4 linked regions of the Stegostoma tigrinum genome follow. The protein of the gene in region 3 interacts with the protein of the main gene of each other region in a pairwise test. Links are inferred from orthologs where the notes say so. Each region holds a gene or a part of one and is shown on either strand. Other genes may lie near its edges. The genes, in order: vapb, trim23, usp20 and bend7.

Region 1 (8,293 bases), on a different chromosome or scaffold from region 3:
GTTTTGGGGTTCTAGGCATATGGCTTTTGAGTGTCTCCATAGGGTTTTGGGGTTAGAACACAGAACATAGAACACCACAGCGCAGTACAGGCCCTTCGGCCCTTGATGTTGTGCTGACCTGTGAAACCAAACTGAAGCCCATCTAACCTACACTATTCCATTATCAACCATTTGTTTATCCAATGACCATTTAAATGCCCTTAAACTTGGAAAGTCTACTACTGTTGCAGGCAGGTCATTCCATGCCCTTACTACTCTCTGAGTAAAGAGCCTACCTCTGACATCTGTCCGATATCTATCACTCCTCAATTTAAAGCTATGTCCCCTCATGCTAGCCATCTCCATTTGAGGAAAAAGGCTCTCCCTATCTACCCTATCTAACCCTCTGATTATTTTATATGTTTCAATTAAGTCACCTCTTAACCTTCTTCTCTCGAATGAAAACAGCCTTTCCTCATAATACCTTCCCTCCATACCAGACAACATCCTGGTAAACCTCCTCTGTACACTTTCTAAAACTTCCACATCCTTCTATAATGCAGCGACCAGAACTGTACGCAATACTCCAAGTGCGGCCACACCAGAGTTTTGTACAGCTGTAACATGACCTCATGGCTCCGAAACGCAATCCCTCTACCAATAAAACCTAACACACTGTACACCTTCTTAACAACCCTATCAACCTGGGTGGCAACTTTCACAGATCTACGTACATGGACACCGAGATCTCTCTGCTCATCCACACTACCAAGAATCTTACCATTAGCCCAGTACTCTGTATTCCTGTTACTCCTTCCAAAGTGAATCACCGCACACTTTTCCACATTAAACTCCATTTGCCATCTTTCAGCCCATCTCTGCAGCTTATCTATATCCCTCTGTAACCTGTAACATCCTTCCGCACAATCCACAACTCCTCCAACTTTAGTGTCATCCGTAAATTTACTTACTTCTACGCCCTCATCCAGGTCATTTATAAAAATGACATACAGCAGTGGCCCCAAAACAGATCCTTGCTGTATACGACTAGTAACTGAACTCCAGGATGAACATTTCCCTTCAACCACCACCCTCTGCCTTCTTCCAGCAAGCCAATTTCTGATCCAAACTGCTAAATCACCCTCAATCTCATGACCACGTATTTTATGCAATAGCCTACCGTGGGGAACCTTATCAAATGCTTAACTGAAATCCATATACACCACATCAACCACTTCACCCTCATCCACCTGTTTGGTCACCTTCTCAAAGAACTCAATAAGGTTTGTGAGGCATGACCTACACTTCACAAAACTGTGTTAACTATACCTAATCAAATTACTCCTTTCTAGATGATTATAAATCCTATCTCTTATAATCCTTTCCAACACTTTATCCACAACTGAAGTAAGCCTCACTGGCCTGTAATTACCAGGATTGTCCCTCCTCCCCTTCTTGAACAAGGGAACAACATTTGCTATCCTCCAGTCTTCTGGCACTATTCTTGAACATAATGGCGACATAAAGATCAAAGCCAAAGGCTCTGCAATCTCCTTCCTAGTTTCCCAGAGAATCCTAGGATACATCCCATCCAGCCCAGGGGACTTACTTTTTTCACACCTTCCAGAATTACTAACACCTCCTCCTTGTGAACCTCTATCCCGTCTAGTCTAATAGGCTGTATCTCAGTAATATCCTCGACTACATTGTCTTTTTCATGTGTGAGTACTGTCGAAAAGTATTTATTTAGCGCCTCTCCTGTCTCTTCAGACTCCATGCACAACTTCCCACTACTGTCCTTGACTGAACCTAATCTTACTCTAGTTATTCTTTTATTCCTGACATACCTATAGAAAGCTTTAGAGTTTTCCTTGTCCTACCTGCAGAAGACTTCTCATGTCCCCTTCTGGCTCTCCTTAGCTCTCTTTTTCGGTCCTCCTTGGCTAACTTGTAATTCTCAAGCACCCTAACTGAGCCTTCACGCCTCATCTTTACATTAACCTCCCTCTTCCTCTTGATAAGAGATTCAACTTCTTTAGTAAACCATGGTTCCCTCGCTCAACCACTTCCTCCGTGCCTGACAGGTACATACTTATCAAGGACACGCAGTAGCTGTTCTTTGAACAAGCTCCACATTTCAATTGTGCCCAGCCCCTGCAGTTTCCTTCTCCATCCTATGCATCCTAAATCTTGCCGCATCTCATCGTAATTGCCTTTCCCCCAGCTATAACTCTTGCCCTGTGGTATATACCTATCCCTTTCCATCGCTAAAGTAAACATAATCAAATTGTGGTCACTATCACCGAAGTGCACACCTCCCCCAAATTTAACATTTGGCCTGGTTCATTACACAAAACCAAATCCAATGTTGCCTCACCTCTTGCTGGCCTATCTACATACTGTGTCGGGAAACCCTCCTGCACACATTGGACAAAAACTGACCCATCTAATGTACTCGAACTATAGGATTTCCAGGCAATATTTGGAAAGTTAAAGTCCCCCATAACAACTACCCTGCACCTTTGCTCCTATCCAGAATCGTCTTGGCAATTCTTTCCTCTACATCTCTGGAACTTCTCAGAGGCTGATAGAAAACTCCCAACAGGGTGACCTCTCCTTTCCTGTTTCTAACCTCAGCCCATACTACCTCAGTAGAAGAGTTCTCATCAAACATCCTTTCTGCCACTGTAATGCTGCCCTTGACTAACAATGCCACACCAGCCCACTTTTACCACCTTCCCTGATCTTACTGAAACATCTAAACCCTGGAACATGCAACAACCATTCCTGTCCCTGCTCTATCCATGTCTCTGAAATGGCTACAACATCGAAGTCCCAGGTACCAACCCATGCTGCAAGTTCAACCACCTTATTCCGGACGCTCCTGACATTGAAGTAGACATACTTCGAACCACCTTCCTGCCTGCCGGTACACTCCTGTGACCTTGAAACCTTATTTACGACTTCACTACTCTGAACCTCCAGTACACTGGAGCTACAAATCAGGTTCTCATCTCCCTGCTGAATTAGTTTAAACCCTCCTGAAGAGCATTAGCAAATTTCACCCCCAGGATATTGGTACCCCTCTGGTTCAGTTGTAGACCATCCCTTTTGTTGAGGTCCCACCTACCCCAGAATGACCCCCAATTATCCAGGTATCTGAATCCCTCCCTCTTGCATCATCTCTGCAGCCACATGTTCAACTGTTCTCGCTCCCTATTCCTTGCCTCGCTAGCATGTGGCACGGGTAACAAACCAGAGATAACAACTCTGTTTGTTCGAGCTCTAAGCTTCCACACTCACTCATTGAATTTCTGCCTCACATCCCTATGCTTTTCCTATCTATGTCATTGGGGCCTGTGTGGACTACAACTTGGGGCTGCTCCCCCTCCCCCTTGAGGATCCTGAAAACACGATCCGAGACGTCACAGACCCTGACACCTGGGAGGCAACACACCGACCATGAGGTCCCACAGAATCTCCTATCTGTCCCCCTAACTATGGAGTCCCCAATGACTAATGCTCTCCTCCTCTCCCCCCTTCCCTTCCGAGCAACAGCGGCAGACTCTGTGCCAGAGACCTGTACCCCATGGCTTACCCCTGGTAAGTCATCCTCCCAAACAGTATCCAAAATGGTATAGTTGATATTGAGGGGAATGGCCACAGGGGATCCCTGCACTGTCTGCCTGTTCCCTTTTTGTCCCCTGTCTGTAGCCCATCTACATTTTTCCTGTACCTGAGGTGTGACTACCTCTCTGTAACTCCTCTCAATTACCTCCTCAGCCTCCCAAATGTGTTCCCCAAGGGATTTGAGTATTTTTCCCACTTATTTCTCTTTTCAGAGAAGGTCAGAAGCCATACGACACCAAATTATAGCCCAACTAGTTTATCTGAAATCAGAAGCTTTTGAAGCACAGATGAAGTGAAGAGAAGCACCGAGGCACAGAATTTATTGGCAGAGAGATCAAGAGATCTGACAAATGCCAGGCTGAATAACAAGTCTCTGGAACAAAAACAAAGTTGCTGGAAAAGCTCAGCAAGTCTGGCAATGCCAGTGAAGGAAAAAACAGAGTTAACGTTTCAGGCCCAGAGACCCTTCCTCAGAACCAGGCCTGAAACTTTTCCAGTGGTTTTGTTTTTGTTACTGATGTACAGCACCTGCAGTTCTTTCGGTTTTTAACAAGTCTCTGGAGGTGATCAAAAGTGTCAGATGGTGTGAGTGTCAACAGCTGAATAGCAAGTGAAGGGATGACCTATAATCTGATTAATTGAGGCAGAGAAATAATTACAAAAAATTAAAAGTAAGATGGTGAGTTTGGAGATTTAGGGTCCCCCAATGGGGTATGAGAGTTCACTGTTTGGATTCCTGGGTTTTGGTCTACTTCCAAGGGGTTTGAGGATTTGAATTTTACCCCCATGGGATTTGAGTGTTTTTCTCTTTAGCAAGTTTTGAGAACATTTGTAGCTCAGGTTGAGTTTCTGGATGTGAGTTTGCTCGCTGAGCTGGAAGGTTAGTTTTCAGACGTTTCGTCACCATTCTAGGTAACATCATCAGTGAGCCTCCGGTGAAGCGCTGGTGTTATGTCCTGCTTTCTATTTATCTGTTTAGGTTTCCTCGGGTTGGTGATGTCATTTTTCCTCTTTCTTTTGGCAGGTTTAGGGGCAGCGGGATGCTTAAAGATTCCCCATAGGGTTTTGAGAGTTCAACTTGTTTATTTTGGGGAGAGGTTAGGGTCTCCATAGGGTCACACGATGAGGGTTGAGGATTCACCCCTTGTGGTTGAGGGATTCCCACGGGGTTTTAGGATTCAGCCCATTTGTAGATGTTTGGGTTGGAAGGTTCATCTACAGGTTTTTGGAGTTTGAGGGTACCCGGGGGGGTTCAAGACTTCACCCTATGGGGTTTTCAGGTTTTGGGGTATTCCATATAGTTTGAGGGATCACCCAGAAGTTTTGTGGTTTTTAGGGTATTCCAGGTAGCTTGAGGATTCATCTGAGAGTTTTTGTGTTTTTAGCGCATTTCTAGGAGGTTGAGGATTCACCTGGGAGTTTTGGGGGTTCTTCGAGTATTGCAGGGAGTTTGAGGGTTCACCTCGGCGTTTTTGAGGGTTTTTACGGTATGCCTGGGAGTTTTGGGCTGAGGGTTGAACCATTTACTGGGATCCTGTTGCTGCAGTTCAGTCTCCGGCCACAGGGGTCAGTGCTGGGCAGGTGCTGACGTCAGCCTCTCCCTCCCTCCTTCTCTCTGTGTCGGCCATGGCGCGCCCGGAGCAGCTACTCGTCTTGGAGCCGCCCAACGAGCTCAAATTCCGAGGTAAGAGGCTGGTGCTGGGCTTGTTCAGTGTCATTTCTAAGGGCAGGCCACCCGTGTGCGGACTCCCTTCAAATTAGAGCCGCACCGGAACAGTTCAGGCGGCCGCTGACGCCGGCGATGGGAGGAGGGATCGGCCCGTCAGTGGGAACGGCGGGCAGGGGGGAGGCCGGGAACAGCAGGCAGTGCCCACGGTAACAGCTCCTGAGAATGTGGCATTGGCCTCTGGGCGACCGACACCCCAACCCTTGACACCACCCCACAATCCCCCTGTAACCCGCCCACCTCCCCACACCCCCGTAACTCATATCCCCAACATATCCCTTCCCCCCACCCCCCCCGTCCCCTCCTCTCCCCCCCCCCCCCCGTCCCCTCCTCTCCCCCCCCCGTCCCCTCCTCTCCCCCCCCCGTCCCCTCCTCTCCCCCCCCGTCCCCTCCTCTCCCCCCCCCGTCCCCTCCTCTCCCCCCCCGTCCCCTCCTCTCCCCCCCCCGTCCCCTCCTCTCCCCCCCCCGTCCCCTCCTCTCCCCACCCCCCCCGTCCCCTCCTCTCCCCACCCCCCCCCGTCCCCTCCTCTCCCCACCCCCCCCCGTCCCCTCCTCTCCCCACCCCCCCCCGTCCCCTCCTCTCCCCACCCCCCCCCGTCCCCTCCTCTCCCCACCCCCCCCCGTCCCCTCCTCTCCCCACCCCCCCCGTCCCCTCCTCTCCCCACCCCCCCCGTCCCCTCCTCTCCCCACCCCCCCCGTCCCCTCCTCTCCTCTCCCCCCCCCGTCCCCTCCTCTCCTCTCCCCCCCCCGTCCCCTCCTCTCCCCCCCCCGTCCCCTCCTCTCCCCCCCCCGTCCCCTCCTCTCCCCCCCCGTCCCCTCCTCTCCCCCCCCCGTCCCCTCCTCTTCCCACCCCCCCCCGTCCCCTCCTCATCCCACCCCCCCCCGTCCCCTCCTCTTCCCACCCCCCCCCCCGTCCCCTCCTCTTCCCACCCCCCCCCCCGTCCCCTCCTCTTCCCACCCCCCCCCGTCCCCTCCTCTTCCCACCCCCCCCGTCCCCTCCTCTTCCCACCCCCCCCCGTCCCCTCCTCTTCCCACCCCCCCCCCGTCCCCTCCTCTTCCCACCCCCCCCCCGTCCCCTCCTCTTCCCACCCCCCCCCCGTCCCCTCCTCTTCCCACCCCCCCCCCGTCCCCTCCTCTTCCCACCCCCCCCCCGTCCCCTCCTCTTCCCACCCCCCCGTCCCCTCCTCTCCTCTCCCCCCCCCGTCCCCTCCTCTCCTCTCCCCCCCCCGTCCCCTCCTCTCCCCCCCCGTCCCCTCCTCTCCCCCCCCCCCGTCCCCTCCTCTTCCCACCCCCCCGTCCCCTCCTCTCCTCTCCCCCCCCCGTCCCCTCCTCTCCTCTCCCCCCCCCGTCCCCTCCTCTCCCCCCCCGTCCCCTCCTCTCCCCCCCCCGTCCCCTCCTCTTCCCACCCCCCCCCCGTCCCCTCCTCTTCCCACCCCCCCCCCGTCCCCTCCTCTTCCCACCCCCCCCCCGTCCCCTCCTCTTCCCACCCCCCCGTCCCCTCCTCTCCTCTCCCCCCCCCGTCCCCTCCTCTCCTCTCCCCCCCCCGTCCCCTCCTCTCCCCCCCCGTCCCCTCCTCTCCCCCCCCCCCGTCCCCTCCTCTTCCCACCCCCCCCCGTCCCCTCCTCTTCCCACCCCCCCCCCGTCCCCTCCTCTTCCCACCCCCCCCCCGTCCCCTCCTCTTCCCACCCCCCCCCCGTCCCCTCCTCTTCCCACCCCCCCCCGTCCCCTCCTCTTCCCACCCCCCCCCGTCCCCTCCTCTTCCCACCCCCCCCCGTCCCCTCCTCTTCCCACCCCCCCCCGTCCCCTCCTCTTCCCACCCCCCCCCCCGTCCCCTCCTCTTCCCACCCCCCCCCCCCGTCCCCTCCTCTTCCCACCCCCCCCCCGTCCCCTCCTCTTCCCACCCCCCCCCGTCCCCTCCTCTTCCCACCCCCCCCCCGTCCCCTCCTCTTCCCACCCCCCCCCCGTCCCCTCCTCTTCCCACCCCCCCCGTCCCCTCCTCTTCCCACCCCCCCCGTCCCCTCCTCTTCCCACCCCCCCCCGTCCCCTCCTCTTCCCACCCCCCCCCGTCCCCTCCTCTTCCCACCCCCCCCCCCGTCCCCTCCTCTTCCCACCCCCCCCCCGTCCCCTCCTCTTCCCACCCCCCCCGTCCCCTCCTCTTCCCCCCCCCCCGTCCCCTCCTCTTCTCCCCCCCCCCTCCTCTTCTCCCCCCCCCTCCTCTCCCCCCCCCATCCCCTCCTCTCCCCCCCCCCTCCCCTCCTCTCCCCCCCCCCTCCCCTCCTCTCCCCCCCCTCCCCTCCTCTCCCCCCCCCCGTCCCCTCCTCTCCCCCCCCGTCCCCTCCTCTCCCCCCCCCGTCCCCTCCTCTCCCCCCCCCGTCCCCTCCTCTCCCCCCCCCCGTCCCCTCCTCTCCCCCCCCCCGTCCCCTCCTCTCCCCCCCCCCGTCCCCTCCTCTCTCCCCCCCCCCGTCCCCTCCTCTCTCCCCCCCCCCCGTCCCCTCCTCTCTCCCCCCCCCCCGTCCCCTCCTCTCCCCCCCCCCGTCCCCTCCTCTCCCCCCCCCGTCCCCTCCTCTCCCCCCCCCGTCCCCTCCTCTCCCCCCCCCCGTCCCCTCCTCTCTCCCCCCCCCCGTCCCCTCCTCTCTCCCCCCCCCGTCCCCTCCTCTCCCCCCCCCGTCCCCTCCTCTCCCCCCCCCGTCCCCTCCTCTCCCCCCCCCGTCCCCTCCTCTCCCCCCCCGTCCCCTCCTCTCCCCCCCCCGTCCCCTCCTCTCCCCCCCCCGTCCCCTCCTCTCCCCCCCCCGTCCCCCCCCGACGCTCCTCCCCCCCCGACGCTCGTCCCCCCCTCCCCCCCCGACGCTCGTCCCCCCCTCCCCCCCCGACGCTCGTCCCCCCCTCCCCCCCGACGCTCGTCCCCCCCTCCCCCCCGACGCTCGTCCCCCCCTCCCCCCCGACGCTCGTCCCCCCCGA
Region 2 (7,489 bases), on a different chromosome or scaffold from region 3:
GTGGTTGGGGAAGGTTTAAAATAATGTGGCCAGGGGAATGGGAACCAGACCAGTAGGGCAGTAAATGCAGAAATTGAGACAGAGGTAGTAACCAGGGCAAACATGATAAGGAACAGGCAGAGAAATGCTGTTGAAAAGAGCAGGGAAGGTAGTGTGTGAAATGTATGTGTTTCAATGCAGGAAATACAATTGGCAAAGTGGATGAACTCAGATGATTGGTTAGTACTTGAGACTATGACACTATTGCCATCATGCAGACTTGGCTGAAAGAGGGACAGGACTCAGCCGAATGTCCCAGGATTTGGATGTTGCAGGTGAGATAGAAAGGAATGTAAAGGGGTTGGGAGAGTTGCATTATTGGTGAAGGAGTATCTCATACAGCTATACTGAGGGAGGATACATCAGAGGATTCATGCAGCAAGGCAGAATGGACAGAAATTGGGAATAGCAAAGATGAAATCACAATGCTGGGGGTATAATACAGGCCTCCCAACAGCCAGTGGGAGATAGAGGAGAGATTATGTAGGCAGAGTTTAGAAAGATGTGAAGGTGGTACTGAAGCTGGCAGTGCAGATAGATAAGTTAGTAAAAAAGGCTTCTGGCATGCTTGCCTTCATTGGAAGGGATACTGAATGTAATGGTAGACAACTTATGCTGCAGCTTTATAGAATTTTAGTTAGGCCACACTTGGAATATTGCATACAGTCTGGTCACCACACTACCAGAAGGATGTGGATGCTTTGGAGAGGGTACTGAAAAGGTTTATCAGGATGATGCCTGGTATGGGAGATTTTAGCTATGAAGAAAGGTTGGATAGACTGGGTTTGTTTTCACTGAAATACAGGATGTTGAGGGGCGACCTGATGGAAGTTTATAAGATTATGAATGGCATGGATAGAGTGGGAAGTATGAGGCTTTTTCTCAGCGTGGAGGGATCAATTAGTAGGGGACACAGGTTCAAGGTGCAAAGTGGGTGTGGGGAGATGGAGTTTAAAGGAGATGTGCAAGGCACATTTTTCACACAAAGGGTGGCGAGTGCCTGGAATGCACTACCAGAGAAAGTGGTGTAAGCAGACAACACGTAAACATTCAAGAAGCACTTGGACAAATACATGAAAAGAAAGGTAGTAGAGGGATACAGAGGAAACAGTTTTAATATGGAAAGGCAAATTGTATCGGCGCAGGTTTGGGGGGGCCAAAGGGCCTGTTTTTGTGCTATATTGGACTTTGTTCTTAATAATTATTGTGTTCTGTAACATAATTTGTTTGTTTTTCTTTTGCTTAATACAGGTTTATGTTTTTCTATTGAAAGTATATATTCAATCTCTGGGGGTATGTTCAGTGATTGAACTACAAGATAAACAATGAGAAATAAAACTCATAGTCCATCAAGTCAGGTTTCACTTTGTGATTTGCCTCAAATTACACCTCAATCACAATACTACAAAATTTGTAACAGAAGTCAACCAATCTTCAGTAACAGTATACCTAACAGGTTTGCAGGTATAAAGTTTTGAGGAATTCCTTGGTAAAATGACATTAAGTTGTATCAGTCAATCTCACTTATCTGCACTATATAAGAGATAATCCACTATTATTTGTTCAGATTAGATCAAAACAGATACATAATATACAAGGAACAAATCTATTTAACTAGTTATCACAATCAAATATACCCAACAGATACTTACATCAGCACTCTGTGATATCTAAGTTTGTTACATGATTAAAACTAAAGACCACAGTTCCTACGGAAGTACAAAAATAGAAATCCTGCATGTGTCTATAAATAATGCTTATCTGTTTTCATTATTTTGAGTAAGATCATTGAAAGGATATAGGAAAACAAACCCAATTCACCCACAAAGGCTATTTTTAAAGTGAGTACTTATCTGCACGATTGGGTTTTCAAACATTGACTGTTCCAAAAATAAATGTGATGGACAGTAGAAGCAAATAAAGTTCTATTAAAAATTGGCTATTCTGTAGGCAGCTTAATTTAACCTTTTGAGCTGTTTGGCTAGGCATGCTATATCAGCCTGGCTAACTCTGTGCATTTTGTAGACATCATGCACTGCCAAGCTCCTCTCTGCAACCCTATCACTATGTATGACAATAATAAATTAGCTGGTAAATTATTCCATATGTTAGTTATCATTTGAGTAAAGAAATGTTCGGCATTTGCTGCAGATTTAACAGAACACTTAGCCAGGAGAAGCAGTGTAACAGGATAGAAATAGCAAAAGAAAGTCATTTGGACAAAATATATATGTGAGATGATCAATCACAGATCAGATATAGTGCTGACAACTGCAAACTTCTGTTTGCAAGACGAATTATGTTAAAAAGTGGAAAGGGGCTGTCTGATGAGGAGAGATCTAGTGGGTTGGGCCTATACTCATTCTACTTATTGAAATAGACTAGAGTCTTTGATTTGATTTATTGTAGTCCCATGTCCCTAAGGGCAGTGAAAAGTTTTGTTTTGTGAACAGTACAGGCAGATCATAGCAAGCAAGCATTATAGGGCACCTAGACAGAGCAAGGCATTCAAGGTTATGGCTGCACAGGAGATGCACAAAGCGAGATCAACATTATTTGCATCAGACCTGTAAGCAGATCTCAGAGAACATTTAATAATTTTTACAGACTTAGAATTTCAGTGTAAAAGCACTAAACACTTATAAGAACTGTGAGAATAAGATCTGTTGCAGAGAGCTTGCAAAAGGTAGCCCGGTGTTAGTGCCATCTTGAAACTTGGAGGTTAGGGGACTTGACAGGTTAGATGTGGAAAGGTTGGTTCTCCTTATAGGACAGTCGAGGACTATAGGGCATAATCTCCGAACAAAGGGTTGCCTCTTTTAAGATAGAAATGAGGAGGAATTTCTTCTCTCCAATGGGTAGTGAATTTGTGGAATTCTTTACTGTAGAAAGCTGTCAAGGCTAGGTAATTAAGTTCATTCAAGGATGAGATAGAGAGATTTTTAATCAAGGCCTAGGAGTTAAAGGCAGGGAAGTGGAGTTGAGGATTATCAGATCAGCCACGATTTCATTGAATAGTGGAATAGATTCAACGGGCTGAATGATCCACTTCTGCTTTTACATCTTATGATCTTAAGAATGCCACAACCCAAACTGACTGAAAATTAAGCATGTACAATCTGTGTATACAGCAAGCAAATAAATGTTAGAATGTTGAACTACATAGCGACTAGCTAATACATCAGGAGAAATAGTGATAAAACTGCTCTTTCTGGTCAATATGAGCAATGCAAAAACGAAGTAATGGGGATGCCAAAAATATGATGATTGATAAACTTTTTTTAAAAAATTGTCATTGAGAAATGATTGTCACTGCAGGCCAGCATTTGTTGTGTCTCTCTTTAATTTGCTTTAGAAGGTGGTGAGGAGCTGTATTCCTGAACCACCGCAGCCTATCTAGTGTAGGTACACCACAGTTTCTGCATGTATTCAAATAGTCTTGTTTTGCTCACCAACACATAACTGAAGTGCAGAAAGTATGCAGTGGTGAAGTTGATCTCTGCTGCCGGGTGTCTGAAATATGTGAAAAAGGTTATTGGTGTGGAAAGAGGCTAGATCTGGGCTTTGCAAAATTAAGATAAATATTACTTCAAACTGTGGAAGTATGATTGGAAATAAGCCGTACTCCAGTGAAACGCTTTGGAATGTTTAATTGCATTAAATATCATTTCTAAAATTAGCTTTTACAATTAATTGTGTTCACTTAGAATGTTTAATTACATTAAATGTTAAGTAACCACAATTAATTATTATAAAAACCGATTTTAGAGATGACAATTATTTCTTCTGTATACAGAATACATGGGTGCAGACTCGTGGAGAAGAGTGGGTACGTTAAGATAGCAATTAGCTGGTATGAAAGAGGTTTCTTTCTGGAAGATTAACTATATGTGAACGAAATGAAGACGTGTCTGTCCTCAAGCCTAATTATTCTGTTGAACTCATTTGTGTTGATGAGCCGTCTGATCAACTCCCATTACTTCGTTCTTCTTTCACTAGGTTAAACTCTCGTCTTTCCCGGTTGACATACAATCTCCTTTACAGGTGGTTTCCGTGTTCTTCCCACTTCTGGTATCAACCTGGTAAAATACATTTTCTTTTGAAGAATAACGAACGCTACCCAGATATCGAACCGAAAAGCCTTTCCTACTGTCAAAGCATTGCTCCGTTGCCAACGTCTTGTCCCAAATATGGCCTTCCACTTGTCTCAATGTGAGCATGCGCAGTATATCGCACGGCACCATCCGGACAACACCATAATGGACAAGAAGAAGGACATTTGATTTAGACAAAAATTAGACCAACGCATAAGTTTCAGAAGAATTGATTAGCTACACATAAATTTGATGTTTATTAATCGCTTCGTAATATAACGCTTTTTTGTGATTTCACCTGGGATTATTACGATTTTACCGATTTAAGATATTAATGATCCCCCCCCCTTTTTCGCGGTTTGGGAGCTGGTGTGATCCACAATGGCGGCGGCTCCGTTGAAGTTGTTGCTGACACCGCTGGGGCCAGGACTTGGGCCTGGGCCTGACAGTGGCTCTCGCAGTCTGCGTGCCGTCAACGGCTGCTCGGTCAAGGTGAGTGCGCCCCCCCAAAAACGAAGCATTCGGGCCAGTTTCAGACTGGGCTCGATCTGTGGCTAGTTTTCAGGCCTGGTCTCCCTGCCCCCTGCCCCCCCGTCCTCTACATGGCTTCTGCGTACTCAAAAACACTGGACAAATCCAAATCAACCCAGTCAAACATCACTCACTCAGTTTATTGTAGATTGTTAGCAAAGCAATAGAATAGCGTTGTGTGCAGCACTTGTCAGTGGGGACCAGAAGACTCTCCACTCGTAGGAGTCACCCCGAGAATAAAGGAAGGTAGTTGGAGTTGTTAAGAAGCCAATCATCTCAGTTCAAGAACATCACTAAGCAAGATAGGTGCAGGAAAGGTATTCTTGATGACGAGAACTCCAGAACCAGGGGTCTGGAGTTCTTTATGGATAAGAGGCAAACCTTTAAGGGCTGAGATGAGGAATTTCTTCACCCCAGAGAGTGGCGAGCCTGTGGAATTCACTACCACAGAAAGTGGTTGAAGCTAAAACATTTTATTTTCAAGAAGGAGGTAAATATGCTGTTGTGGCTAACGGGATCAATGGTTAGGGATTAGAATTTTGAGTTCAATGGCCTTACTGAATGGTCTACTCCTGCTCCAATGTTTTATTCCTCGGGCTGGATATTTTCTAAGCAACCTGTTCAGAGATAGGACCACTACCACTTTACCACAGGAGCCAAGTTCCTGAGGGTAAATATTTTCAACCAACCTTTCAGACACACTGGTGGCGGGATTTGAACCCAGGCTTTATGACCTAGAGGTAGAGACAGTACTACAGTGCATCAAGAACCATTCCAGTTCCTTGGGATAATGTGATAAATTGACTCATCTTCAGCTGCTTTATCAATGATCTTGGCTCAATCATGAGGTCAGAGGTGGGAATATTCTCTGATTATTGCCTGTGTAGGCTTGGCTCGATAAATAATACGTAATGTTTGGTGTGAGACAAATGCAAGGTAAGGACCATTTCCAACAAAAAAAATTAACCATTGCCTCTTGATATGTAATGTCATTGCTGATGTCAGAGGCTTGGCATTTTGCAGTGAGTAATTTGCCTGTTGTCTCCTCAGTTTTTCCAAGTAACAAGTCAATGGCATAATCTGTTTGGGCACCAGCTGTTCACAACATTATATATATGACTTGGCTGAGAGAACCAAATGTAACATTTTTGAGTTTACTGATAAAACAAACTGATAACTGATGAACTGAAATAAGGGCAGATTGAGCATTGTCACTGGGGAGGGAACAGGTGGTAAAGGATGCATTCAAAAACCATCTCTAGGTAAAGTAGATTGTGAAGCATCTGTTTTAATCTTGGACGAGCAAAAAGGATGGGGTTGATGGCAAGGAAAGGAGTTTGTGTAGGGACTAAAGATGATGGCTGCACTCTTCTCAATATTTCAACTGCTGCTCATCTGACATGTTGAACATACCCACAGAGGGGACCAAGAGACGTGGAGCAGGCAGTATCAGCATAAACGTGAAGTTTCCATTTGATGTTGTCAAGAAAGAGTTTGTAGATGTGAAACAGATGAGGGCAATGATGGAGCTTTGGGCATCCCAAATAATGGAATGGAATAGAAAACATTGTAGTTGATTCTCTGGCTTTGCATGGATACGCAAGAATGGAACCATGCTGGTTTTGCTCCATCAAAGTGAAAGAGGATAATGATGTCAATTATACCAAAGGGTGTGAAAGGTCATGATGGATAAAGAGGAAAGTTTATCTTTTTGTAGTTGCACAGGCATTTTGGTCATCCTGTGACATCACCACTGTGTTGATGTTTTGCCTTGTGCACGTGATAATGCATTATCTCACATGAGAAAATTGGAATTTGACATGCCAAATTCATAAATTTATGTACTGTTTTCCAAGCGCTGACATTCCAATAAGTATTCTCCTGAAAAATACTTTCGTTCTATGGTATCTTAAAAAGAGAGACTTAAAAATATTTATTCTTAAACCCAACATTTGTTGATGATTTATCCAGTTTTGTGCACAACAAAACTAAGTTTCAGCTAATGTTATTGATGGAATCATCTATCGTAGACTAGACATGTATTATCTCATAAATATACAAAAGTCAGTTTTTTTAAAATGTTTTAGACAAGCTATATTAATGAAAGGTCTAATATTTAAATTTTAAAAAATTTCCATTTGTAATTTTCATTCTGAAGCTACAACGTAATTCAGCAAAAGCTGTATGTAGTTGAGGATTGCTGGTTTATTTTATACGTTTATAATATATAATTTGCAGCATGTCTTCATTGATTATTTTTAGTGTTTCTATAATAAGTGAAATAGAGAACTACTTTGGAAATAAAAAAAATTACAGAGAAATTGTAACAAAATTGGTGACTAAGACAGTAATATTTTGACGGCAGTTTAAAGATAGCCACTTTACTTGGAATGTTAAAAACTGAGTGGCTTTGGGACTATCCAGTGTCAGGAAAGGCTAGTTGGAATAAAAGTAGTAGTATTAAAATTTCCCCCTGCCTAACCCAGAAGTACTGATGTCAGTCAATTTCTTTTCACTCCAGATCACACTTTCACTTACCAGGTTGAGGTGAAGTGAAAATGTCATTGAGTTTGGTTGTGATGTTGTTATGTTATATAGCAGCGAAATGGACCCTTCGGTCCAACCATCCGTGCTGAACATAATCCCAAATTAAACTAGTCCCAGCTGCCTGCTCCTGGGCGATAACACTCCAAACCTTTCATATTCGTGTAGTTATGTAAGTATCTTTTAAATTTTATAACTGCACTGACGTCCACCACTTCTGCAGGAAACTCATTCCACACATGAATCACCCGTCTGTGCAGAAAAAAAACTGCCCCATGTCT
Region 3 (7,540 bases):
AGCATTTCGGACTTTCTGTACTTCATAGGCATTTACCCGATAGTAGCACTCCTTTTACCTTTGATTTCTGTAACAGCTCCTCTTTAGTGATTTCTCCTACTGAATCCAGATGAGGGCAGATATCAGTAGTATCAGACATCTTCCCAAACTTCAGCACTGTAATAAAAATTACAGCTATTAAGATCAAACAGACTGCCCCATTATTGCCATTAGGCGCAGATGTAAATTAATCTGTCTCTAATTTAAAAGCAAAATACTACGGATGCTGGAGATATGATATAAAAACAATGTGCCAGAGATACTCAACAGGTCTGGCAACATTTGTTGACAGTTAACATTTTGTATCCAATTGCTCCAAAGAAGAGTCATAGTGGAACTGAAGCATTAATTCTGTTTCTCTCTCCAGATTCTGCCAGACCAGCTCAAGTTCTCCAGCACATTTTGCCTTTAACATCAGCAAGCTTATTCAACATAATAATATATTAAAAAATTAGAATAGTCAGACAAAAGGTTTGGAATACAAAATACATCCTGATAGAGTCAAACAGCACAGAAACTGACCTTTTGGTCCAACTTGTCCATGGGTCCCTTTTAAATCTTTGTCCTCTCACCTTAAGGTTATACCCTCTAGTTTTGAATTCCCCTACCCTAGGGAAAAGGGCCTTTCCCATTCGCCTTATCAATGTCTCATGATTTTAAAAGCCTCTACCAGGTCATCTCTCAACCTGCTGTGGTTCAGCGAAAAAAAAAAATCCCAGCTTCTAACTCAAGCTCTCCAATCCTGGCAACATCCTTAACTCAAAAAAAAATGTCCTGTTAGTCCTCTGCTGGAATCTCTAATTTCCCAGAATCCATGTAGCAAGTGTGACACCAACTCTATATTGTGATGTCTTTCCAAACAAAAGTCTGTAAATTTCGATGATATTGCCATTTAAATTGCAAGTAAATTGAAAATATTTCCACTTGAAAGACAACTGCAAAGTACAACATTACACAGCAAGATTCCTAAATAACAAAAATTAGAATGAGGTGAAACAGACTGCTTATCTTAGAAGGTTCTGAAGAAGGGTCACTGGACCCAATAAATTAACTCCGATTTCTCTGCAAATGCTGTCAGACCTGCTGAGCTTTTCCAGCAACTTGTTTTTATTTCTGATTTCCAGCATCCACAGTTATTTCAGTTTTTAATTTCGCTTATCAAAAAAATATTGCATTATATCTTGCTTCAGAATACAGCATCTCTGATAATGAGTGTTGTATTATACGATAATGATTAGAAAGGTGCTTTCCTTTCTCCACTCAATCACACGCCCCAATTCTTATTTGGATTACAATTCCTTGTTCGACTCACAGTTCAGACAACATTTATTGATGTGTTAATCTTGACACTCAGCAAATCCCAATTACTTAATCTTTGCGGAATTACAAGCAAATTCAGTTGTTCCCACTGTGTAGCCATTATGACTTTCTTTTTAATTAATTCATAGGATAAGAGTATCACTGGTGAAACTAGCGTCTATAGCTCAACTCCAAATTTGTCTTGACAAGGTGGTCTTAAATCAATGCAGTCCATATGATGCAAGCACACTCCAGTGTTGTGAAAGTGGTCACTGGCCTGAAAGGTGCCAGAGGAGATGGTGAATTGCTGCAGTGCATCTTACGATGGTAGCTACTGCTGCCAATGTATCAGTAGCCAATGGGGTATCAAACAAGTCAACTTCAACATCATTAGTGGTGTTAAATGCCTTGAACGTCATTGAGACTGCTTTCACTGAGACAAGTGGAAATTACTTCATTACAATCTTGGCTTGAGACTTTCAGATGGTGGTCAGGCACTGGGGAGTTAGTCATTACAAATTTCCCAGCTTTTATTCTGCTCTTACAGTCACAGTATCTAGATGGCTGATCCAATTTAGTTTTAGTCAATGTCAGCCTCAGGATACTGATAGAGGGATTCGGTGATGATAATGCCGTTGAACATCAAGGAGTGATGCATAGATGCAATCTGCTTGAAATTGGTCGTCATCTGGGACTTAAACAGCAACAAATGTCACTTATTATCCCAAGCCTGGATGTTGTCCAAATCTTGCAACAAATAGGTACAGGCTCATAGGAGCAAAATTACTGTAGATGCTGGAATCTGTACTGAAAACAGGAAGTGCTGAAATCACAGTGGGTCAGTTCAAAATTCATATCAGCTCTGATACACAGTCATCTAGGCTCAAAATGTTAGATACTGGCTTCTTCAGTGTCTGAAGACATTGCATCACCCATCAGCAAACATCCTCATTTCTTGACAGAGGGAAGGTCATTGATGAAGTAGTTGAAAATTAATTGGTGTGGAACACGACTAATGCTAAACATGAAACAATTCTCTTCAAACCAGATAAAAGTTAAAACCTGCACAAACCCCACCTAGGTTGCCAATGGGCTCAGCGAGGGACCAATGGTTCTGTCTGTCAGCAGCTTCTCCATCTCAACATCAAATCTGCTACACAGATAGCGGAACTGGCTGCGCATTTTAATTTTAACATCAAATAAGTAAAATGCTAGAAAATATTATGCAGCTCTGTTCGCATTGGTGGAAGGAGCAAAGCAAACATCAATGCCTGATGAAATCCATCACGTTTTTTTCCCTCTTGCCAAAAATACTGCTTGAGCTGCTTATTCCCAGCAGTCAGTGTACATTGCCTTTGATACTTTAGGCTTTAATAACAAAACACCTGAACATTCAGATGAAAATACACATTAAAAAGTCGGTGATAGCGAATTGGGCTGATGAAGAGGCACGCACAGACACACCTACCACCACCCCCCCACTCTGAAGCAAATCCTCCTTCTCACACCCAGACTCACAACTGCAATTCAACCCGATTCTGAAACTTACTCCACAAACGCCTGCCCGAGACTCAAAGCAGATCTCCCCCAGACACAAACACGCCCCCACAAGACACCCCTACCCCTACCCCTTCCCAAAGACCCAAACGGGGCCCCCTACCCAAGACTCAAAGTTGTGCCCACCCGCTCTCATGCTGTAACCCCCACCCCCCCAGACTGAGTGCCTAACCCAGCCGCGCCCCCTCCCCATTCAGCGCCGACACCTCAAAGCGACACAAAAGCACCGCTGCGTACATTTGCGCCGAGTTTCAAAATCCGCAGCCGGGTGCGCACAAGGAAGACACGGGGCGTACCTGCGCCTACAATGTCCCGGTGCGGGTCCCGCTTCTTCTCCCGATCCCTTCCCCCCGCTTACGTCTCACGAGATATTTTCCTTCAGCAGAGAATAAGCGGCACCGTCTCCATCTTGGGGAGCTCCAGGGCCACGGCGTGCACTCTGGGGAATGTAGTTCCCGACGGGTGGCCCGGATGGAAGACGACCTCCAACGCCATAGGCCGCCGCTGAGCCTTCTGGGAGATGTAGTTCGTACCGATGCGCCTCCCGCTTTCCCGGATGACGTTCGGTTGCTGTGGCGTCATTTGGGACACACCCCCGAGCGGTCGGATAGTGCGCATGTGCTATGTGGCCACGCCCTGGAATGTCCAGGACTCATGGGCCAGGCCATTCAGCCCAAAAAGTTTATGCTAGCAAAACAATCAGCTTCTTACTTTAATTAAAACAAAAGTCTGTTTTGAAGATAATAAAATGTGAGGGTGGATGAACACAGCAGGCCCAGCAGCATCTCAGGAGCACAAAAGCTGACGTTTCGGGCCTAGACCCTTCATCAGAGAGGGGGATGGGGTGAGGGTTCTGGAATAAATAGGGAGAGGCGGACTGAAGATGGAGAGAAAAGAAGATAGGTGGGGAGGTAGGGCGGGGATAGGTCAGTCCAGGTAAGACGGACAGGTGAAGGAGGTGGGATGAGGTTAGTAGGTAGGAGATGGAGGTGCGGCTTGGGGTGGGTCTGTTTTGAAGAAGGGTTTCAGAGATAGTAGGAACTGCAGATGCTGGAGAATCTGAGGTAACAAGGTGTAGAGCTGGATGAGCACAGCAGGCCAAGCAGCATCAAAGGAGCAGGAAAGCTGATGTTTTGGGCCTAGACCCTTCAGAAGGGTTATCTCTGAAGAAGGGTAACAGGTCTTGAGAGCTAGCTCTGCTTTCTCTCTACAGATGCTGCTAGACCTGCCAATTTTCTCAAGAACTCTCCGTTTTTCATTATTTTCCACCTTTATTCTTTCTTAGCAGGTGAATGTCACTGGCACACATCAGGCATTCTGAAACACGCATTTATTACCCATTCCCAATTGTGCTCTGTCTAAATGGCTTGCAAAGCCATTTTCAGAAATTTCCACAAGATTTGGAATGTGATTCCACAAAAACCAGTTCAGGCCAAACATTACATGATTTCAAGAAGCTATTGGACATAGGACTTGGGGGAGAAAGGATTGAAGGGTATGGGGAAAAAGTGAAAACGGATTATTGAGTTAGATGATCAGCCATGATTATAATGATTGGCAGAGTAGCCCTAAGGTATCAAAAGACCTGCCCCTGCAGCTATTTTCTATTTTTATATGTAACATAGATCCTTAACAATAAAAAGGATTTATGGTGGCAAATCGACAAAATGCAACTCAAATGGTATCAGTGCACATTGCCATAATACATATCAGTTTCTAGTGCTCAGTCTTACTTCCCGTTTTGCTTCTGAATATTTCTTTCAAATGCAGAAAATAGGGTACTGCCATTTAAAACAGCCTTTGCGATCCATCTGCACGTGTCCACTTGCACTCATGACGTACCATTGGTGAAACCATGCAGCAGTGTCAAGTCTATGTGCATGTCCAAAAAAATTTTAAACAATTGCAAACCACATCTAATCTTTGTTGTTCTGTTGTATGTTAAGGCAATCATTGATAAAAAGCTGAAGAGGCTTCTGCCATAAAATTGAAAGGAAAGTGCTTAGATTGGGTACATGTAAAACCAAGAGACAGCTCTTAAGGGAGATCAGAGTTGGGTAAATGGAAGCAAAGTGCAATGGTTCTCTTCAAACGGAGAGGATCCGTACATTATAAAATTGCAATTTCCAGTATGCTGACAATTATCCAGCCTGTCCTCCCAAATGTAATTTCTTTAGGTCTTACTTATAAAACAGGCATGTTGTTGGATGAGAGTTAAAACCAAGACTCCAAATTTAGTGCTCCACCTACTGGTGGCATAGGCCACAATTGTAGCCCTATAATATCTACGGTTAACATCTACACTGCTCCAAACCAAAACACCAGTTTAGACCTGTGACTCTTCTTCACAACCCGACTCCTCACTTTGTCCTTTGTTCTGTGGTACGTTGCTCCGATCCAGGGCCAAGAGACAGGAATCACAAAACCTGGTGCTGCTCCTGGGAACGTGGCTCCCAACCTGATCACAAAAAGTCCCACCTCCTGACCCAAGCACGGTTGGCCTCTTAAAGAGATAATGGGAACTGCAAATGCTGGAGAATTCCAAGATAATAGAATGTGAGGCTGGATGAACACAGCAGGCCAAGCAGCATCTCAGGAGCACAAAAGCTGACGTTTCGGGCCTAGACCCTTCATCAGACAGTCTGATGAAGGGTCTAGGCCCGAAACGTCAGCTTTTGTGCTCCTGAGATGCTGCTTGGCCTGCTGTGTTCATCCAGCCTCACATTTTATTATCTTGGCCTCTTAAAGCACCAGTCTCCGTTATTGGGCTCTGGTGTACACCCTTGTTCCAAGATGCCCTGACTTTCCCTTATGTTCCATTCCCTCTTTTTCTACACTACCAAAATCATCACTTTTCCAACAACTTGCAGTTCCAAAGAAACTCAAAACATTAACTGTGTTTATTCCTTTCCACAGATGCTGCCGGGCCTGCTGGGTTTCTCCAGCATGTTCTTATTTTATTCTGTCTTCTCAATATTTTTCAGTGGGACGAGGATGAAAGAAAAGGTCTGTGATAGAGTTGCAACAGGGAGAAATTGAATGACAGAAAATTTAATCCTGAGGGCTAAAGTGAAAGCGCTGAAAACCTATAAGGATCTGGATAACTATTTTTCCTAATTCTAATAAAAAGTCCAAGATCTCAAATCATTGGGGGGAATGTGGGCGGGCGTTGAATCTTGACAGAGTGGATGTGGAAAAGATGTTTCTTCTTGTGGGAGAATCTAGAACTAGAGGTCAGTCATTGAAAAAAAGAAAGAAATTTACATTTTTTTATTGTCACATGTACTCAAGTACAGGAGTACAGTGAAAAGTGTCAAATGTCACCAAGTTACCTTGGTATCTAGGTACAAAGTGATAGAGAGAAACAAAGTTAAAAGTTCAACATTACAGACCACCTCGAGAAAAATAAAGAGATAAGGTAATAGTTAACATTGAAGTTCTTCTTAATATTAAGTAGAAAAATAAAGAAATATTTAAAATTTCAACTGTCTTTCTTGAGCGCTTAGCCATGCTGGGGCCCCAATCTCCTCCACTTAGTTCGTTCTCTGGTGACCCTAGCAGCGTTTCCTCACCGCCGCTGACACAGATACTGGGGGACATCCCTCACCGCTCATTCCTCCCATGTTCTCATAGATGGTCCCATCTTCCTCAAAAGGCAGTATAAGCAGAGTCCTTGATTATCTTTAAAGCAGAGGGAGCTAAATTCTTGATAAGCAAGTAGGTGAGAGATTATCAGTGGTATGCAAGCATGTAATCAGAACACCACGATCCTACTGAATGGCAGAACAGGCTTGAGAGGTCGAGCATAATAATCCTGCTCCCATTATTTTATATATAGAAAATATTAATTAAGTATCTCTCTCTCTACACAAATACTTCAATAAACTGATGAGTTCAGATTGTGGTTGATCTTTTTACAACATGAAAGGTTAAGGAGATATACGCTGGGGACAAAAGACCACAAGAAATAGGAGATAGTAAGAACTGCCGATGCTGGAGTCAGAGATTAGACAGTGTTGAGCTGGAGGTACACAGCAAGCCAGGAAACATCAGAGAGGCAGGAACATTGACATTTCAGGTCAGGACCCTTCTTCAGAAAAATACATCAACTTTCTCGCTCCTCTGATGCTGCCTGACCTGCTGTGTTCCTCCAGCTCCACATTTTTTTTTTGTAAAAAGAAATAAGAGCAAGGATATTGCATTTGACAAAAACAGAAATTGCTGAAGAAACTCAACAGGCCCGCGGAGATAAGTAGGTGTAGACCTGGAGTAAACTTTGGATCCTGTGAGCCGCCTTCGCAACGGTCCTGAAACATCAACATCCTCTTTCTTTCCACAGAAACTGCTGACTTTCTCGAGAATCCAGTGTTTTGCTTCTTCGGGTGAGTTATTGAAGAAGGCGTGAGTATCCCTGCGGGGCGTGAGTATCTGTACTGCACAGACTGTGAGAATGGCAACATTGCGGGACTGGGTCACATGATGCCGTGCCCGCTGCACTGTGGGAAATGGAGTCCGGGAGTCGCCGGAACCTGTCCGTTGAACCGGAAGTTCCTCGGTCCGACCTCCGTTGTCAGTCTGCCGCGAAAGTCGGTGTGGTTTAGTGAGTAACGGGGTTTTGAAAAGAAACTGTGTTTGAGCTAAAAGA
Region 4 (7,923 bases), on a different chromosome or scaffold from region 3:
TCCCAGGTAGCTGAACAGCATGAAAGCGTGAATAGTTGGGTCAGAAGCCATCGCACTTATGGGCAGGAAAGAGCTGTTTTTGTTATGCAGTAAAACCATCTCAGGCTGTTTATTTCCCCTTAACCATTGCTGTAAGCTGCAACCTTTAATTAATAAGTCAGCAATATTTATAAGTTGAACCACTCACCCTGTGACTCCTGCAACCAAGCGGAAGTACCTGGAGAAAGAAGATTAAAAAGCACCTTTCTGATCAGTAAAAGGATCAGCACAGCAAACCCTGCTGAGAGACCTCTGAACCAGGTTTCCGCCATCTACAATCCGAACCCACCACCCAAGACATTTTTCCATCCCCACCCTTGTCTGCTTTCCGGAGAGACCACTCTCTCCGTGACTCCCTTGTTCGCTCCACACTGCCCTCCAACCCCACCACACCCGGCACCTTCCCCTGCAACCGCAGGAAATGCTACACTTGTCCCCACACCTCCTCCCTCACCCCTATCCCAGGCCCCAAGATGACTGTCCATATTAAGCAGAGGTTCACCTGCACATCTGACAATGTGGTAAACTGTATCCACTGTGCCCGGTGTGGCTTCCTCTACATTGGGGAAACCAAGCGGAGGCTTGGGGACAGCTTTCAGAACACCTCCGCTCAGTTCACAACAAACAACTGCACCTCCCAGTCGCAAACCATTTCCACTCCCCCTCCCATTCTTTAGATGACATGTCCATCATGAGCCTCCTGCAGTGCCACAATGATGCCACCCGAAGGTTGCAGGAACAGCAACTCATATTCCGCTTGGGAACCCTGCAGCCCAATGGTATCAATGTGCACTTCACCAGCTTCAAAATCTTCCCTTCCCCCACCGCATCCCTAAACCAGTCCAGTTCGTCCCCTCCCCCCACTGCACCACACAACCAGCCCAGCTCTTCCCCTCCACCCACTGCATCCCAAAACCAGTCCAACCTGTCTCTGCCTCCCTAACCTGTTCTTCCTCTCACGCATCCCTTCCTCCCACCCCAAGGCACACCTCCAGCTCCTACCTACTAACCTCATCCTCACCTCCTTGACCTGTCCGTCTTCCCTGGACTGACCTATCCCCTCCCTACCTATCTTCTTTTCTCTCCATCTTCGATCCGCCTCCCCCTGTCTCCCTATTTATTCCAGAACCCTCACCCCATCCCCCTCTCTGATGAAGCGTCTAGGCCCAAAACGTCAGCTTTTGTGCTCCTGAGATGCTGCTGGGCCTGCTGTGTTCATCCAGCCTCACATTTTATTATCTTGAGCCAGGATGTTGCCAGGTTTGGAGGGATTGAGCTATAGGGAGAGACTGAATGGGCTGGGGCTATTGTCCCTGGAGCATCGGATACTGAGGGATGACCTTATAACCATATGTATAATCATGAGGGGCATTGGTAGGGTGAATAGCCAAGCTCTTTTCCCCAGAGTAGGGGAATCCAGAACTAAAGAGAATTGGTTTAAGGGGAGACAGGAAAGATTTAAAAGGGACCTAAGGGGCAACCTTTTCCACATAGAGGGTGGTCCCTGTCTAGAAATGAGCTGCCAGAGGAAGTGGAGGAGGCTGGTACAATTGTAAATTATTTAAAAGGCAACTGGATGGGTACATGGATAGAAAGGGTTTCAGAGGGATTTGGGCCAAATGCTGGCAAATGGGACTAGATTATTTAGGGTATCTGGTTGGTACGGCCAAGTGGACCAAAAGTTCTGTTTCCATGCTGTACACCTCTATGACTATGAACCACCTGCCAGTCTTTCCTTCCATCCATAACACCATTTTTTGTCTCTGTTTGTTTGTCTCTGTACATGTGACGAGGGGAGTTTACAAATGCATTTGAATTTTAACTGGTAGAGTGATCTGTTGATGGTTCATAATTGTTTCTGTAGTTCAAATCTACTTACATTAATAAACAGTAATTATATTTACTTGTAATAAACAAATAGTTCTTGTCAAGTACAGAATCTGGTTTGTGCGTTCCGTCAACCTGTGTTTAAAAGCCAGGTTAAAAGTTCAGAAATGGACACTTTGGTCTCACTCATCCAATCCTGACAAGGGTTCATAAACTGACCTAGTCCCATCTGCCTACAGTTGGCCCATATCCCTCTAAACCTTTCCTATTCACATACCTGCCCAAATACCTTGAGTTCACCTTTACCACTGATTTGTGGTGTTTTCCAGATGTAATTTTAATCAGGAAGAATTCACATTTTGATTGACTCAGGGATTGTAATAAATCCTCAATCAGAGCCTCTCTGTCTGGTGGCTGCTCAAGCTGCGATATTAAGCTCATTCCTCGGGAAATTGAGTTTGCTTCACACCCACAGTAGAAATTGAGTGAGGTACAGTGAAGATTAGCACAGGCAAAGGCGCAAACTGCTGAAAACGATCACAAAACCAGATCCCAGTTACTATTAGAAAAAGGAAGCTCCTAACTTCTGCAATAAATCTAATTTCAAATTTAGATGTCCCCTTCCTCAATCTGTGATAACTAGTTGGTGACTTATGCTGGTTAGTATTCCCCTGGTTAAAGATTTATCTCGCTATGTTCCCAGGTTGGCGGGTTTTTTTTTGGTTAATGTTTTTCTGGTTAAGGATTTTACTGCTTGATGTTTCGGTAGTTAATGGCTTTGCTGGTTATTGTTCCCCAGGTTGATGGTGCGGCTGGGTTATGTTTCCCTGGTTAATGGGCTTGTTGGTTACTGTTTCCTTGGTAAATGGTTTAATGTTGGTCCAGGCCGCGCTCTCTCACCTTCATTCGCTCTCCTAAAGCTCCGCGTTTTCCTGCTCCTTTTCCACTCGGTGACTTCCATCGATCCCGCCGCAACTCCCACACTCGTCCGGGGACCGGCTCACCCCACCGTCTGCCCGAGCCGCCGCTTCACTTTCCCGGAGACCAGGCGCCGGCAATCAGCGGGAGAGGGAGCCGCGACCGACCGCCGACCGCCCTCAGGAGGAAAAGGACTCCACCCGGGGGGGACCCTTCATCCGGGAGACACTTCACACTCCGCCAGGGGGACACTGCACACTCCGCCAGGGGGACACTTTACACTCCGCCAGGGAGACACTTTACACTCCGCCAGGGAGACACTGCACACTCCGCCAGGGGGACCCTCCGCCAGGGAGACACTTCACACTCCGCCAGGGGGACGCTCCGCCAGGGAGACACTTCACACTCCGCCAGGGGGACGCTCCACCGGGGAGACACTTCACACTCCGCCAGGGGGACGCTCCACCGGGGAGAGACTACATCCTCCACGAGGGGGACACTCCGCCGGGGAGAGACTACATCCTCCACGAGGGGGACACTCCGCCGGGGAGAGACTACATCCTCCACGAGGGGGACACTCCGCCGGGGAGAGACTACATCCTCCACGAGGGGGACACTCCGCCGGGGAGAGACTACATCCTCCACGAGGGGGACACTCCGCCGGGGAGAGACTACATCCTCCACGAGGGGGACACTCCGCCGGGGAGAGACTACATCCTCCACGAGGGGGACACTCCGCCGGGGAGAGACTACATCCTCCACGAGGGGGACACTCCGCCGGGGAGAGACTACATCCTCCACGAGGGGGACACTCCGCCGGGGAGAGACTACATCCTCCACGAGGGGGACACTCCATGCTCCCTAATGGGCGCGCTCCTCGTGTAACAGGGGAGGACATTCCACCAAGGGGGAGACTCCTTTCTGCATGAGGGAAACACTACATCCTCCACCCCTGAAGTCAGTACTGTCTGAGGAATTGTGCGGCAAATCTCCATATCTGATGGTTCCCATTGCATGCTTTTAAAAACAGTAGATAAGGATATTGCAGATGGATTATTCATAAATTGCTCCTAAACTCTCGACAGTTTGGAATTGTGTCTTCTAAAAGTTTAAAACGAGGGAAGGAGAAACTGGAAAACCAGTTTATCCTCAGTTGATAGCAAACTTTGGGAATGGATTCTCAGAGAGTTGCATCCATTGAAAACGGATTGCTGTGGTTCAAGGAAGCAGCTTCTCAAAGGCAATAAAATATAAACAGGAGCTGCTCTGGACAGAGAAATGGAGTTACCAATTCTTATGATTTGTTAAAACGTGGAGTAATATAAAATTATTTATGAAATATTTACTTTTAGTATAGGGTCTATAGTTATTTAAATGTGCGAATCCTTTTGAAGTTATTTGGCGGTGTTCCGCGGCTTGGATTACTTCGGGGGGGGGGAAGGTGAGGGCGGATTTGGTCTAATCGACGGCTAGGCCGCGCCGTCGCTGTGGTGCGGCGGCGGGTTTCCGGCGCCTCGCCCTCTGACCCGGACGTGACGACGTTGTTGTGGCGGCGGCCGCGCGGATGGAGCAGCTGAAGGCGGAGATCGAGAGGAAACGACGGCTCCTGGAGGAAAGCCGGGCCCCGGGGGTGAGGGAGAACAGCCGGCCCCGGGGGGTGGGGGAGGAGAACAGCCGGCCCCGGGGGGTGGGGAAGGGGAGGAGGAGGAGGAGAACAGCCGGGCCCCGTGGGGGTGGGGAGGAGAACAGCCGGCCCCGTGGGGGTGGGGAGGGGGAGGAGAACAGCCGGCCCCGGGGGGGTGGGGAGGGGGAGGAGAACAGCCGGCCCCGGGGGGGTGGGGAGGGGGAGGAGAACAGCCGGCCCCGTGGGGGTGGGGAGGGGGAGGAGAACAGCCGGCCCTGGGGAGGGGGAGGAGAACAGCCGGCCCCGGGGGGAGGAGAACAGCCGGCCCCGGGGGGAGGGGGAGGAGAACAGCCGGGCCCCGGGGGGTGAGGGAGAACAGCCGGCCCCTGGGGGTGGGGGCGGGGAGGAGACAACCGGCCCCGGGGGGGTGAGGGAGAGGTGGGGGTATAGCTGGCCCCCAGGGGGGTGGGGGTGAGAGAGGAGGGAGGAGGACACCTGGCCCCAGTGGGGAGGGGGAGAGGGAGAGGACACCTGGCCCCGGAGGTGAGGGTAAGGGGGTGGGAGAGCCATTCCCTGTGGGAGGGGTGAGAGGATGGCGGGGGACGTTGCCAGCCCTCAGGAGGCATGGAGGGGGACGTTGAGGGGAAGGGGTGGGGTGTGAGGAGAAGTAGGGGCAAGGCTGGAAAGCAGGCCCCTGGGGGGGTGTGAGGTGAAGAGCAGGCCCCCGGGGTTGGGGGGAGGTAGAGAGAGAGCCGGCCCCGGGAGTGAGCAGACGCCAGAAGTGGGAGAGCTGGTCCCCAGGGGTGAGGGAGAGAGCGCTAAGTTTGATGGTCAGGGTGTAGTTGCGCTGATTTTGGGGGTCAGCGGGGGAGGCATGTGCGATGCTGGCATGTGTGGTTCGTTGGGGTGGAGAATTGAGTTCTGCCCTAATTTCAAATCACAGTCTTGAATATGAGACAACAAAGTGTGGAGCTGGATGAACACAGCAGGCCAAGCAGTATCTCAGGAGCACAAAAGCTGACGTTTCGGGCCTAGATCCTCCTCCAGAGAGGGGGATGGGGAGAGGCTTCTGGAATAAATAGGGAGAGAGGGGGAGGCGGACTGAAAATGGAGAGAAAAGAAGATAGGTGGAGAGGAGAGTATAGTTGGGGAGGGGATAGGTCAAGGAGGCGGGATGAGGTTGGTAGTTGGGAAAAGGAGGTGCAACTTGAGGTGGGAGGAGGGGATAGGTGAGAGGAAGAACAGGTTAGGGAGGAGGGTACGAACTGGGCTGGTTTTGGGTTGCAGTGGGGGAGGGGAGATTTTGAAGCTAGTGAAATCCACATTGATATCATTGGGCCGCAGGGTTCCCAAGCGGAATATGAGTTGCTGTTCCTGCAACCTTCGGGTGGCATCACTGTGGCACTGCAGGAGGCCCATGATGGACATGTCGTCTGAGGAATGGGAGGGGGGGGTTAAAATGGTTTGCGACTGGGAGGTTTTCAGATTAGATTCCCTACAGTGTCGAAACAAGCCCTTTGGCCCGACAAGTCCACACCACCCCTTGGAACATCCCACCCAGACCCATCCCCAAATAACCCACACACCCCTGAACACTATGGGCAATTTAGCACAGCCAATCCACCTGACCTGCACATCTTTGGACTGTGGGAGGAGACCCATGCAGACACGGAAAGAACGTGCAAACTCCACACAGACAGTCCCCTAAGGCTGGAATTGAACCCGGGTCCCTGGCACTGTGAGGCTACAGTGCTAACCACTCAGCCACCGTGCCACCCGGTACAGTTGCTTATTGCAAACCGAGCGGAGGTGTTCTGCAAAGTGGTCCCCAAGCCTCCACTTGGTTTCCCCAATGTAGAGGAAGCCACACCGGGCAAAGTGGATACAGTATACCACTTTGGCAGACGTGCAGGTGAACATCTGCTTAATGTGGAAAGTCATCTTGGCTTGGGATGGGGGTGAGGGAGGAGGTGTGGGGGCAAGTGTAGCACTTCCTGCGGTTGTAGGGAAAGGTGCCTGGTGTGGTGGGGTTGGAGGGGAGTGTGGAGCGGACAAGGGAGTCACGGAGAGAGTGGTCTCTCTGGAAAGCAGAGAAGGGTGGGGATGGAAAAATTTCTTGGGTGGTGGGGTCGGACTGCAGGTGGCGGAAGTGTCGGAGGATGATGCGTTGTGGGGACAAGGGGGATTACATATTAAGCAATAAAACGTGAGGCTGGATGAACACAGCAGGCCAAGCAGCATCTCAGGAGCACAAAAGCTGACGTTTCGGGCCTAGACCCTTCATCAGAGTGGGGGATGGGGGGAGGGAACTGGAATAAACAGGGAGAGAGGGGGAGGCGGACCGAAGATGGAGAGTAAAGAAGATAGGTGGAGAGGGTGTAGGTGGGGAGGTAGGGAGGGGATAGGTCAGTCCAGGGAAGACGGACAGGTCAAGGAGGTGGGATGAGGTTAGTAGGTAGCTGGGGGTGCGGCTTGGGGTGGGAGGAAGGGATGGGTGAGAGGAAGAACCGGTTAGGGAGGCAGAGACAGGTTGGACTGGTTTTGGGATGCAGTGGGTGGGGGGGAAGAGCTGGGCTGGTTGTGTGGTGCAGTGGGGGGAGGGGATGAACTGGGCTGGTTTAGGGATGCAGTAGGGGAAGGGGAGATTTTGAAACTGGTGAAGTCCACATTGATACCATATGGCTGCAGGGTTCCCAGGCGGAATATGAGTTGCTGTTCCTGCAACCTTCGGGTGGCATCATTGTGGCAGTGCAGGAGGCCCATGATGGACATGTCATAAAGAGAATGGGAGGGGGAGTGGAAATGGTTTGCGACTGGGAGGTGCAGTTGTTTGTTGCGAACTGAGCGGAGGTGTTCTGCAAAGCGGTCCCCAAGCCTCCGCTTGGTTTCCCCAATGTAGAGGAAGCCGCACCGGGTACAGTGGATGCAGTATACCACATTGGCAGATGTGCAGGTGAACCTCTGCTTAATGTGGAATGTCATCTTGGGGCCTGGGATGGGGGTGAGGGAGGAGGTGTGGGGACAAGTGTAGCATTTCCTGCGGTTGCAGGGGAAGGTGCCGGGTGTGGTGGGGTTGGAGGGCAGTGTGGAGCGAACAAGGGAGTCACGGAGAGAGTGGTCTCTCCGGAAAGCAGACAGGGGAGGGGATGGAAAAATGTCTTGGGTGGTGGGGTCGGATTGTAAATGGCAGAAGTGTCGGAGGATAATGCGTTGTATCCGGAGGTTGGTAGGGTGGTGTGTGAGAACGAGGGGGATCCTCTTGGGGCGGTTGTGGCGGGGGCGGGGTCTGAGGGATTTGTTGCGGGAAATGCGGGAGACGCGGTCAAGGGCGTTCTCAATCACCGTGGGGGGAAACTGGCGGAAATGGCGGAAGTGTCGGAGGATGATGCGTTGTATCCAGAGGTTGGTAGGGTGGTGTGTGAGAACGAGGGGGGATCCTCTTAGGGCAGTTGTGGTGGGGGCGGGGTGCGAGGGATGTGTTGCGCGAAATCTGTCTCCCGTATTTCCCGCAACAC

The links.
Region 1: the proteins of usp20 (region 3) and vapb interact in binary tests that used the Homo sapiens proteins (3 or more experiments, as listed by UniProt). The two-hybrid records come from large-scale screens. The link is inferred for Stegostoma tigrinum from reciprocal best matches to the Homo sapiens genes USP20 and VAPB.
Region 2: the proteins of usp20 (region 3) and trim23 interact in binary tests that used the Homo sapiens proteins (3 or more experiments, as listed by UniProt). The link is inferred for Stegostoma tigrinum from reciprocal best matches to the Homo sapiens genes USP20 and TRIM23.
Region 4: the proteins of usp20 (region 3) and bend7 interact in binary tests that used the Homo sapiens proteins (3 or more experiments, as listed by UniProt). The two-hybrid records come from large-scale screens. The link is inferred for Stegostoma tigrinum from reciprocal best matches to the Homo sapiens genes USP20 and BEND7.

What each region holds. Positions count from the first base shown.
Region 1 is NC_081372.1:60,747,154-60,755,446, reverse strand, and holds the start of vapb (vesicle-associated membrane protein-associated protein B/C), read left to right. Parts: upstream 1-5,176; 5' UTR 5,177-5,235; coding exon 5,236-5,293; intron 5,294-8,293. UniProt on the Homo sapiens protein: Endoplasmic reticulum (ER)-anchored protein that mediates the formation of contact sites between the ER and endosomes via interaction with FFAT motif-containing proteins such as STARD3 or WDR44.
Region 2 is NC_081354.1:117,893,419-117,900,907, forward strand, and holds the start of trim23 (E3 ubiquitin-protein ligase TRIM23), read left to right. Parts: upstream 1-4,272; 5' UTR 4,273-4,514; coding exon 4,515-4,625; intron 4,626-7,489.
Region 3 is NC_081382.1:39,294,977-39,302,516, forward strand, and holds the start of usp20 (ubiquitin carboxyl-terminal hydrolase 20), read right to left. Parts: upstream 3,323-7,540; 5' UTR 3,192-3,322; intron 157-3,191; 5' UTR 140-156; coding exon 59-139; intron 1-58.
Region 4 is NC_081378.1:4,516,955-4,524,877, reverse strand, and holds the start of bend7 (BEN domain-containing protein 7), read right to left. Parts: upstream 3,041-7,923; 5' UTR 2,828-3,040; coding exon 2,767-2,827; intron 1-2,766. Other genes in the region: prpf18 (pre-mRNA-splicing factor 18), read left to right, coding at 4,349-4,414.